2 linked regions of the Bombyx mori genome follow. The main gene of each other region encodes a partner of the protein of the gene in region 2 in a complex. Links are inferred from orthologs where the notes say so. Each region holds a gene or a part of one and is shown on either strand. Other genes may lie near its edges.

Region 1 (4,581 bases), on a different chromosome or scaffold from region 2:
AAAGTTGTATAAATAGGAATTTGAGAATTTACCGCCATCTGAATGTTGAAGACTCCACCTGCTTCTGTGATGTTCTCTTGAATTTTGTCGATTGCGTCTTGTAATGCTTTGAGACCGTCAGTCTTCTCAGGAGTTGAGGTAGTCATTACTGTAAGAAACCTTAGTTAAATGATTATACTTTGCTTAGTGAGACATACAGTAATCAAGTTATGTAATAATTTTCGGTAGGCAGCGGCTTGGCTCTGTCCCTGGCATTGCTGAAGTCCATGAGCGACGGTAACCACTCACCATCAGGTGGGCCGTATGCTCGTCTGCCTACAAGGGCAATTCAGTTAAGAAAAAAAATCTTTAAATAGAGTTTTTCAAATTGTGAAATATATAGGCTCCGGTAAACACTTGACACTGGGTGAGCTCATTTATCCCTCTATACAATTAATGAAATTTAATAAAGAAATTTGTGTATACTAAAATTATACCTGCAGATTTCTACTATAAGTCTACCATTGTGGTTTGGAGTACATAATGACCAATATTTCTGTCCATCAATCATCTTCTTCTTGGACTTATCCTACAGTGTGATCAGAACATACTCTAAACTCCATACCCTTCTCTTGCATATTCTCTCAAATAGTCCATCCATCTTTCTAGGACATTCAAATCTTTTTAGGATGCGCTGTTATCATACACTATCATACACAAAGTATCTAGTGCAAATATATCTAAAAACGAAAATTAAATCAAACACTTACCATACAAAGGTGGGGCAATAAGATTAATTTTGATTGGCATGTCCACTGTAGACAGAGCTAGACCAGCTTTCAAAGCTGCTCGTACAGCATCAATGCCTTCATAACCATAGCAAGCACACTCAATGTCAGCACGAATCTTCACTGCTTGCGAGGTCAGTTTCCTTTTAATATTAGCTAAGAGGACATCCTTGGTTTCTTCATCTAAGCCACATTCATCGAGTACTGATGGGTCTCTGGAACATTAACATATTGCATAGAAACAACTTTCTTCTTGTTCCAATTAGGTAATATAGCACTTTTTATTTTGTGTATTAACATATTTCAATTTCACAAGATTAAGGTCAGTTCTTTTTCTCAAAATTAATGGTTCATAATATTTTCTTCAGTTTTCATAGTCATAGAGATAATTAAACTACCTAATTAGCCTACCTTCGGACTGGCAGCACAAATCTGTTAGACCAGGGGTTCCCAAACTTATTCTGTCTACTGCCCACTTTGAGAATTAATTATATTCTAGTGCCCCCGTTTTTTCATCTTCTTAAAAACCACTATAGAGAGAACTGAGTCTGTGTCTAAGAGTCCTCCTAGATGAAATTACAAATCACCTCCCAAGCCTCTACACACCCATTTTTTCTGGGTCTATTACCCTTTCGGCCTGCAGCGCTCACAAGGGGGCGTTATCGCCCACTTTGGGAAAGGCTGTGTTAGACAGTGCACTGAGCCACTGCAACACTCAAACTGTGTAAAGCTCAGTGTTTAGAGAAATTTGAGGGAAGGGTTACTCAAGGGTAACATATAGGAAGCCCTAGTAAATATATAAGTCACAAATACATAAGGTTGTGAGCAGCTGACTAGTACACAGTAATTCATGTCCTATTGAAGTGTGATAGTTTCTGAGTGCAGAGTGTGAGAGCTGAAGAAAGCAAAAGTAGTATTCATTCTACACTAAATTGACTTTTTGGTCCATTTGGACATAATGATAATTACACAAGCACCCTTTTTCTTTTTTTTTTCAGTCTGGGGGCCAAACCTCCTACGAAGCCCCCACAATTGGGGGTACATAAGCACCAACCTTATCATTTTAACTCAAGATGTACACTTACACAGCTGCTTGTTTGAAGAAGTCATATGCTGAGGCTTTCTTCTTATATTTCTCTTCAAAGTACCAAGCTGTTTTTTTATAAAGTTCTTCCAATTGCTCAGAAGTTTCATAATGGAGGAGCTCTGCTACATGTCGCAGGATCGAGTTTACTGCTTTTGCTTTTGCGTAGCGTTCTGTGCACTTGTATATATCTTCAGCAGATACACGACGTTTCGATAAGTCTATGTATCCTGTGAATTGAAGGAAATAACAAAATTAAAAGCGATCATTTGGAATATTGGTGATTGGTGCTAGTTTGTCATATCATATTTCAATTAAATGTGTACTTTGTTATTAATACAGAGAATGACATGTCAATATTAACCCATTGGCTTTGAGGACTGAGTGGATAAAACATTGATTTGATAAATTAGTTTATGACAATATTGGTTTGTTTAATTCCTGTTTTCCAAAGCACAAATGGTAATATTTTACTGAAGCGAAAAATGGAGTGCAATTTTATAAAAAAATTTATTATTATTTTAAACAATATCTAACCTTTTTCTTTGTCCACTCTGATTACGACAACCGGTTCAGTCTTTCCCACTCGGATCAATTTGTTAATGGATCTGATACGTCTTCTGGAAAGCTCAGATAGCAAGATCATGCCCTCTATATTATTGTATTCTAGAAGGTGGACGTATGCTCCCATCTCTGCGATGGATCTAACGTTCACCATCACCACATCTTCAACTTCCGGATATTTCTCTTGATAAAATCGACACGACAAAGGCATCTAGAATAATTTGATTTTATTATAACCTATGTGAAAAGTTTGTGTCACAAATTCTGGTATTTACTATTGAGAATATTTATAACCTATATGAAAACTTTGTGTCACAAATTCTGGTATTAATTATTGAGAATACAGTATTAATTTACCTTGTGTATTTATTTAATTCGTTTTTGTCTGTTAAATATTAGATAAAGAAAGAATATGATGAAACAGTCAACTTGTTCACGTTGACGAAATTCAGCGTTTGCTTCATGTCCTTCTGTCTGGGCTTGCGTTGTGTGACATCTGTCACAAATTAGAAAAAGTCAAAGTCTATTGTATCAACTTTGTTGAAATGTATTTGCGTGAAATGAAACGTAGCGGTAGTCGTGTCGTAAAGGTTGGGTGTTGGATGTTAAATACTAAGTGTATGATCCATTGTGTTGGTGTAGCGGGACTTGCAACAAAACCCGTTGACATATTTAAATTAGAATTTATTAATGTTCTCTGAAATTATCCGCTCAGCTCATATTCACCAGAAGTGGACTCAAGTTTAGGCCCGTAGAGGCAAGTTTAACGATGGCTAAAATGTAAAAAAGGGCATCTGATCGTAAAATATTGTATCAGGTCTCTTAAAAACCGTAATTGATGAATTTTTGGTCGAAGTTACGTTTAAAAAAGTTGGACTTTCATTAGTCATTATAACAATTGTATTGAATACATAATTAAATTACTGACCGACTTTCCTATTTCTGTTCAATAGAACAAAGTTTCCGCAATTGACTTTGAATATTCAATTGATCGTTATTGACTTGAACAATTTCAAATATATTTTTTAGTTGATGAAACGGGCGGTTCCTTTGGCCTACTTAGTGTTAGAGGTCAAGGGAGCCTCAAGGCACCCCAAAGTTACTGTTCCTGAGGTTTCTGGGCTCCAATAACGGCTTAATTATAAATGGACGTAGGTTCATTAGAGCATTAAAAATCCTTATGTGAGGTTTTATAAATAATAAAAGAAAATATTAAACGCACATATACTTGGCCTAATTCATTAAGCATACGTGCGTTATTTGTCACAACAATTAACATCAATTAAAACTCTTATGAACCTATCGCATTCCGCATACAATATGAAGATTACGTCTCGATTATTCCGGGAAGATAGCATATTTGTAAGCGTTCACGCATCCTTGACAATGTCATTTTACTATTGGCCATTTGCTAATTTACGCTGCAGCAAATTAGTATGGTCAGAAAAACAAATCTATAAACTATATGGATTTAATTTAGGTGTATAATAATAGTTATTCCAGTTCTGATCATGATGCGGAGAACTGTTTGAGATTTTTCTGTAATCTGTTTCTACAATCCCATAACCGGAGTAGTTAGACCGATTATTATTAGTATTTTACCGGTGGTAGGACCTCTTGTGAGTCCGCGCGAGCAGGTACCACCGCCCTGCCTATTTCTGCCGTGAAGCAATAATGCGTTTCGGTCTGAAGGATAGGGTAGCCGTTGTAACTATATTGAGATCTTAGAACTTATATCTCAAGGTGGGTGGCGCAATTACATTGTAGATGTCTATGGGCTCCAGTAACCACTTAAAAACAGGTGGGCTGTGAGCTCGTCCACCCATCTAAGCAATAAAAAAAATGGTTTCCAAAGATTGAGTACTCTGCCAGTACTGCCAGTCTCTGAAATGAACTTTGACTCTCGGTATTTCCTTTGCAATAGTTTATCACATTATTTATAAATGAATGTTTTAAAAACACCTTAGCGGTAGATGATGGTAATGAGGGGAGCTTAGTGAAATAGAGGAATTCACAGTATATTCGACTCGCTTTTTTCTGTTTTAGATGCAATCAGTGAAGTTTTATTTGTAGGCAGCGGCTTGACTCTGCCCCTGGCATTGCTGACGCCCATGAGCGACGGTAACCACTTACCATCAGCTGGGCCGTATCATCTGCCTACAAAGA
Region 2 (4,449 bases):
TTTTTTATTATTATTGGATAATTTAAATATGATCATTAAAAGCCTATATAAAATCTGCTCACCCAATTAATTGTATGAAGAAAACTCTTCGTTTGCGCGTAAATTTGATTTATTTAGTGATTATTTAGCCTTTATGGAAAAAACCTAAAAATACCTTAAAAAAACCGGTAATAAACCGGAGCCAGAAATTGTAATCGGTTCACATCCCTAATCTGAGGTGTCAAATAATTTCTGAAACACTAGATTATCCAACAAACTGAGCTAAAAATATAACATAATCTGACTTATAACCCCTCTTTCCACTCTTTATGATTAGACTGCAACTAAGTAGAGCGAGGTCCAAACATAACTACCAAAATAATACACTTAATACATATTTAAGACTTAACTACCTTGCCTACACTTTGTTTTTTTCCTACCTAAGCTGATGGTCTTGGGAGGCCATTTCAGCGTAACCCTAACAAGTAGGCGAGTTCACGGGGTCACGGGGCTCAAACCTGACGACATTGCTAAAACTAACCCCAGCAAGAGCCGTGCTTCGCAGAATCTACCACCGGGTCGGCAATGCGACCCACTGAGAAGATCCGGCGAGAAACTCAGTGGGCTGTGTCTGTCTGTGGATTAAATTACTCACCGAGCCCTTCGTCGCAAGTGACGGGTTCCACGAGAACGATGACCGGTGCTTGGGGTACCTAAAAGCACCGTTATTGGATCGGGAGGATTCGAAATGACGTGTTTTGGGCGACGTCGACTGTTTACTATTCGATCCGCAGGATCGCGAATGTAATTACCGGCGGCCACGATGAGAGGATTCTCGTGTCGTGCCGCTTTTTCGAAATGGACACATATTGCAAATGCTTAGTTGTCACTGACTATAGCCAAACGTGCCACGCGCTAAAGTATTTCTTTAGGTATTCTAAAACATTAATGATGGACATATTCTAGAAACACCGTCAAGGGGAGTTCATTCATAAACCAGATAATACCGAAAAAGATCTCTGGAAACGCACGCATGATGGATAAGCGCAGTGCTTTGCAGTAGTAAGATTATTTGGGGAGACATTCGGGGGGAAAAGTTAGTTGGGAGTATCGGAGGTTTTTTGAGTCTACTATACTATTCACAAGTCAATATTATAAAGGACAAATTACGCAACCGAATGGCAATAGAAAGTGCGGAAGCGGTTCTCAGGATTCGATATTCACTGCCAAATGGATGCATTTTTGTTCCCACATCGGACATGTTAAAAATCTTTACGTGTATGCTTTAAATAATAATAAGAAAAGTGAATATGATTGTAATAATTTTTTATTGATTAAAAAATAAAGGAATATGTACTTTTGGGGTTTTATTTCTTCTTTAAAATAAGTAAAAACTGTCTTGGGTTTTTTTTTTAAAAAGCTCATTTCCAGAGGTTTTCGAAAGAAGTCGGGGTGAAATTCACACGGACATCTGACAGCACTGCTTCAGAGCGTAGATAATACACATAATGTTCAGAAAAATATTGAAGTTTCAACATTTAAACTTCAATTTCTTCGGATTTTTCGTAAACTGTCAATGTATGTAGTATGTATATTGTTTTAGGTAAATCAACAGAGATCCAGTCATCAAACATTCTTAGCTACTCACTTAATTCTTAGTGAATATCTGTGACCTTGCTCGTTCACGAAGCCCGCTATAGAAAGCAGAGTATTAAATACACTTGACATTGGCGAAATCTAAAAGGAAACGCCATAAACCTAAGAGATAGATAGATAGATAACCTGTCAATTAATAAATATTACAGTGTTTATATGCAATAGATTGATCATTTGTGACCTTAACATACCTCATTGGTAAGTAAATTAAACACTGTACGCATCTTTAAACGTTTGTGTGAATTTTTTAAGTCTGCAAAAGTATTGTTCAAACAAATGCATTTTATTAATATGCACAATTCGCTTACGTGGACTAGGATAACTAATAACTGAAATGAAATATCTAATTTTAATATCTTTTATAGCTTTCCAAGGAACAGAAAAAATGGTAATGTCTTAAATGTACAGATTTTGTATACGATTTATGAATAGAAATATTGCACTTTGAGGTTAGGTTTTATAACTATATCAACTTTTATTACAATCAAAAGTAAAAAATAAACTCATGTCTGTTTTTAATTTATTAAAATATATCATCATATTAAACAAGATTTTTTACAATAAGTAGTAAATTATTTTCTGGCATGATACAATATTAGAGCTACAGAGTGCAATATAGTAGCTATTTTTTGTATTTGTTTTATTGCATCGATAACCACTAACCAGTAGACTAGATCACGCGTAGCTTACTGTGTAGTTCCTAAATTAGCTTAATTGAATGCCCTGAGTAAAAGAGGAATGGAATTTTTTTAGATATTAGTTTAGATGTGTAAACTTTTCCACAGCCATCTGATACCAGTAACTAGAACCTATAGACAAAACAAAAAGAATGCTCTTAAGTACTTGGAAACATAATCTTAAAATTGAATTTTCTGAATATATTATTACTGTGAACTGATGATAAGCCAATAGAAAGTAATTTATGTTTGAAGTGTTGTTTGTTTCTCAATGTAATAATTAATTAGTGGCATTTACTAATTCCTGTGGTATACAAAATCTTTGTATGATTAAACAAATACTATTACTTATTAAATTAATGTACTAACCATTAAAAGTAATAATTATTTTGTAGCACCATTTAGTTTTGCGAAGTGGTTCTAGTTTATATATTACGTTTATCTCTTATTTTCATATTCAATTTATTCAATTTTATCCAATTTTATCTTCATTTAACACTTGGTGAAATAAAGCAATAAAAAAAATTTTTTTTTAAACCATTAGATCACAGTATAATGTAATATCAGAATATGAATCACAAGACTTGTACTGTTCTGAATTATTTTTGAGTTTTTATTACTGTTGCTTAATGTTGTCAATGTTGCTATGTCTATTTTAAGTATAGTGCACTTTCCCTATTGAGAATTGCATATTTCAAAGAATATATCCATATTATTATAATGATTATATGGAAAGAACCATCATAGTTGAAATTTTGACCTCATGACTCAAATAGAGATTATGACATTCACATATCTATGTTCTAGTAAATATGTAACAACAGCACTTAATTTGCAATTTAAATAAATGAAAGAAAACACATTTGAATGGTAACTAATAAATATGTTGATATGGTAGGTAGATGCTGAAAATTATCTGGTTCAACCTGAGAAACCTTTCACTGCAACTCAAAGGAGAAGAATTAGAAGAAATAGATTAAGATTTGCCAAAACAGACTGTGTAGATATCCTTTGTACGATAAATAAAATACAAAACAAAACAAAAAATAATCCTGAACAAGGACATATAGCAGTAATTGAAAATAATAAACAAGAATACAAAGTAGAGGATGCCCTCCGCTCAGTAGTCATAAAAGATTTTGACGAAAGTATATTACAAAAGATGTCTTCTAATGAAATCCCACCAAAGTCTAGAGATGAAATTAAAGCTGCTCGACAGGCAAAAAAAGCTGCCAAACTAAAAGTAAACAACAAGACCACTGAAAATCCTCAACTGACAAAAGAAATAGAGAATCTTAATGAAAACAACATAAATTCTAAACCTAAAGTAGAAAGCACAGATGAAGTAGACAAATCTGTTGTAATAAATCCTAATGCTGTAGATATAAGTACTAGTAGAGAACAGATCAAAGCAGATAGAGCTGCCAAGAAATCTGCCAAACAGTTAAAGAAAAAAGGAGCTGCCGATGGTGAAAGTAATGTGCAAAGCTCTGTAAAAAAAGAACTTAAAGAAGATGATTCTGTGAAACAAAATGAAGATATGACTGTAAAAGATGTTGTTGAAACTTTAAAAAACATAGTTAGTGTTGCCAAGGAGGTTAATGAAATTACGACAAAAGTAAGTGCCTTGGATTTGGGAGGTAAAAAGGTAATTATGTGGATGAAATAGTCATCCTTTTTCGATATTAAACTACATTAACATTGCTTCTAAATTCCTTGAATGACATTCCCAATGAAATTGAAATTATATTTGATGTAAGCTTATTTAGAACAAGAGGCTTAAAATTTGTTTACCATACTTGAATAACAAAATACAACAATAAAATTTATAACAGATATATAAACTCCATATTATGTTGCACTATATAAACTCAGAGTAACTGTGATAATATATTGTCTTTTGAATATTCGTTTAATAGATATAGTTTCGAAAACAGTGTTGACATTACTAACAATATTGATATTGTAGCAAGAAGAGACAGGCAAGAGTAAAGCAGAACTTCGGGCTGAACGACGCGCCAAACAGGAGGCTCAGAGAGCTGCCAAACAAGCTGCCGAAAAAAAAGTAGTCAAGCCTAAACTTGAAGCTCCTACAGTAAATGTGGATGTTCCGAAGAAAGAGGTAATTTTGAGACTT

Evidence for each region.
Region 1: the proteins of translation initiation factor eIF-2B subunit delta (region 2) and eukaryotic translation initiation factor 2 alpha subunit are in contact, whole or in part, in a cryo-EM structure (PDB 6O81), measured with the Homo sapiens proteins. The link is inferred for Bombyx mori from reciprocal best matches to the Homo sapiens genes EIF2B4 and EIF2S1. Residues at the interface, in NP_001029288.1 of Homo sapiens: Asn245, Glu246, Glu247, Arg250, Thr285, Ser520, Ser521, Asp522; in NP_004085.1 of Homo sapiens: Met30, Tyr33, Met45, Arg55, Arg57, Arg75, Glu79, Lys80, Tyr82.

Annotation. Positions count from the first base shown.
Region 1 is NC_085126.1:6,530,423-6,535,003, forward strand, and holds the start of eukaryotic translation initiation factor 2 alpha subunit, read right to left. Parts: upstream 2,935-4,581; 5' UTR 2,773-2,934; intron 2,627-2,772; coding exon 2,389-2,626; intron 2,082-2,388; coding exon 1,853-2,081; intron 983-1,852; coding exon 750-982; intron 149-749; coding exon 33-148; intron 1-32. UniProt on the Homo sapiens protein: Member of the eIF2 complex that functions in the early steps of protein synthesis by forming a ternary complex with GTP and initiator tRNA. This complex binds to a 40S ribosomal subunit, followed by mRNA binding to form a 43S pre-initiation complex (43S PIC).
Region 2 is NC_085111.1:2,905,957-2,910,405, reverse strand, and holds the start of translation initiation factor eIF-2B subunit delta, read left to right. Parts: upstream 1-1,491; 5' UTR 1,492-1,833; intron 1,834-2,000; 5' UTR 2,001-2,020; coding exon 2,021-2,023; exon of another isoform or gene 2,024-2,084; intron 2,085-3,210; coding exon 3,211-3,960; intron 3,961-4,281; coding exon 4,282-4,434; intron 4,435-4,449. UniProt on the Homo sapiens protein: Acts as a component of the translation initiation factor 2B (eIF2B) complex, which catalyzes the exchange of GDP for GTP on eukaryotic initiation factor 2 (eIF2) gamma subunit.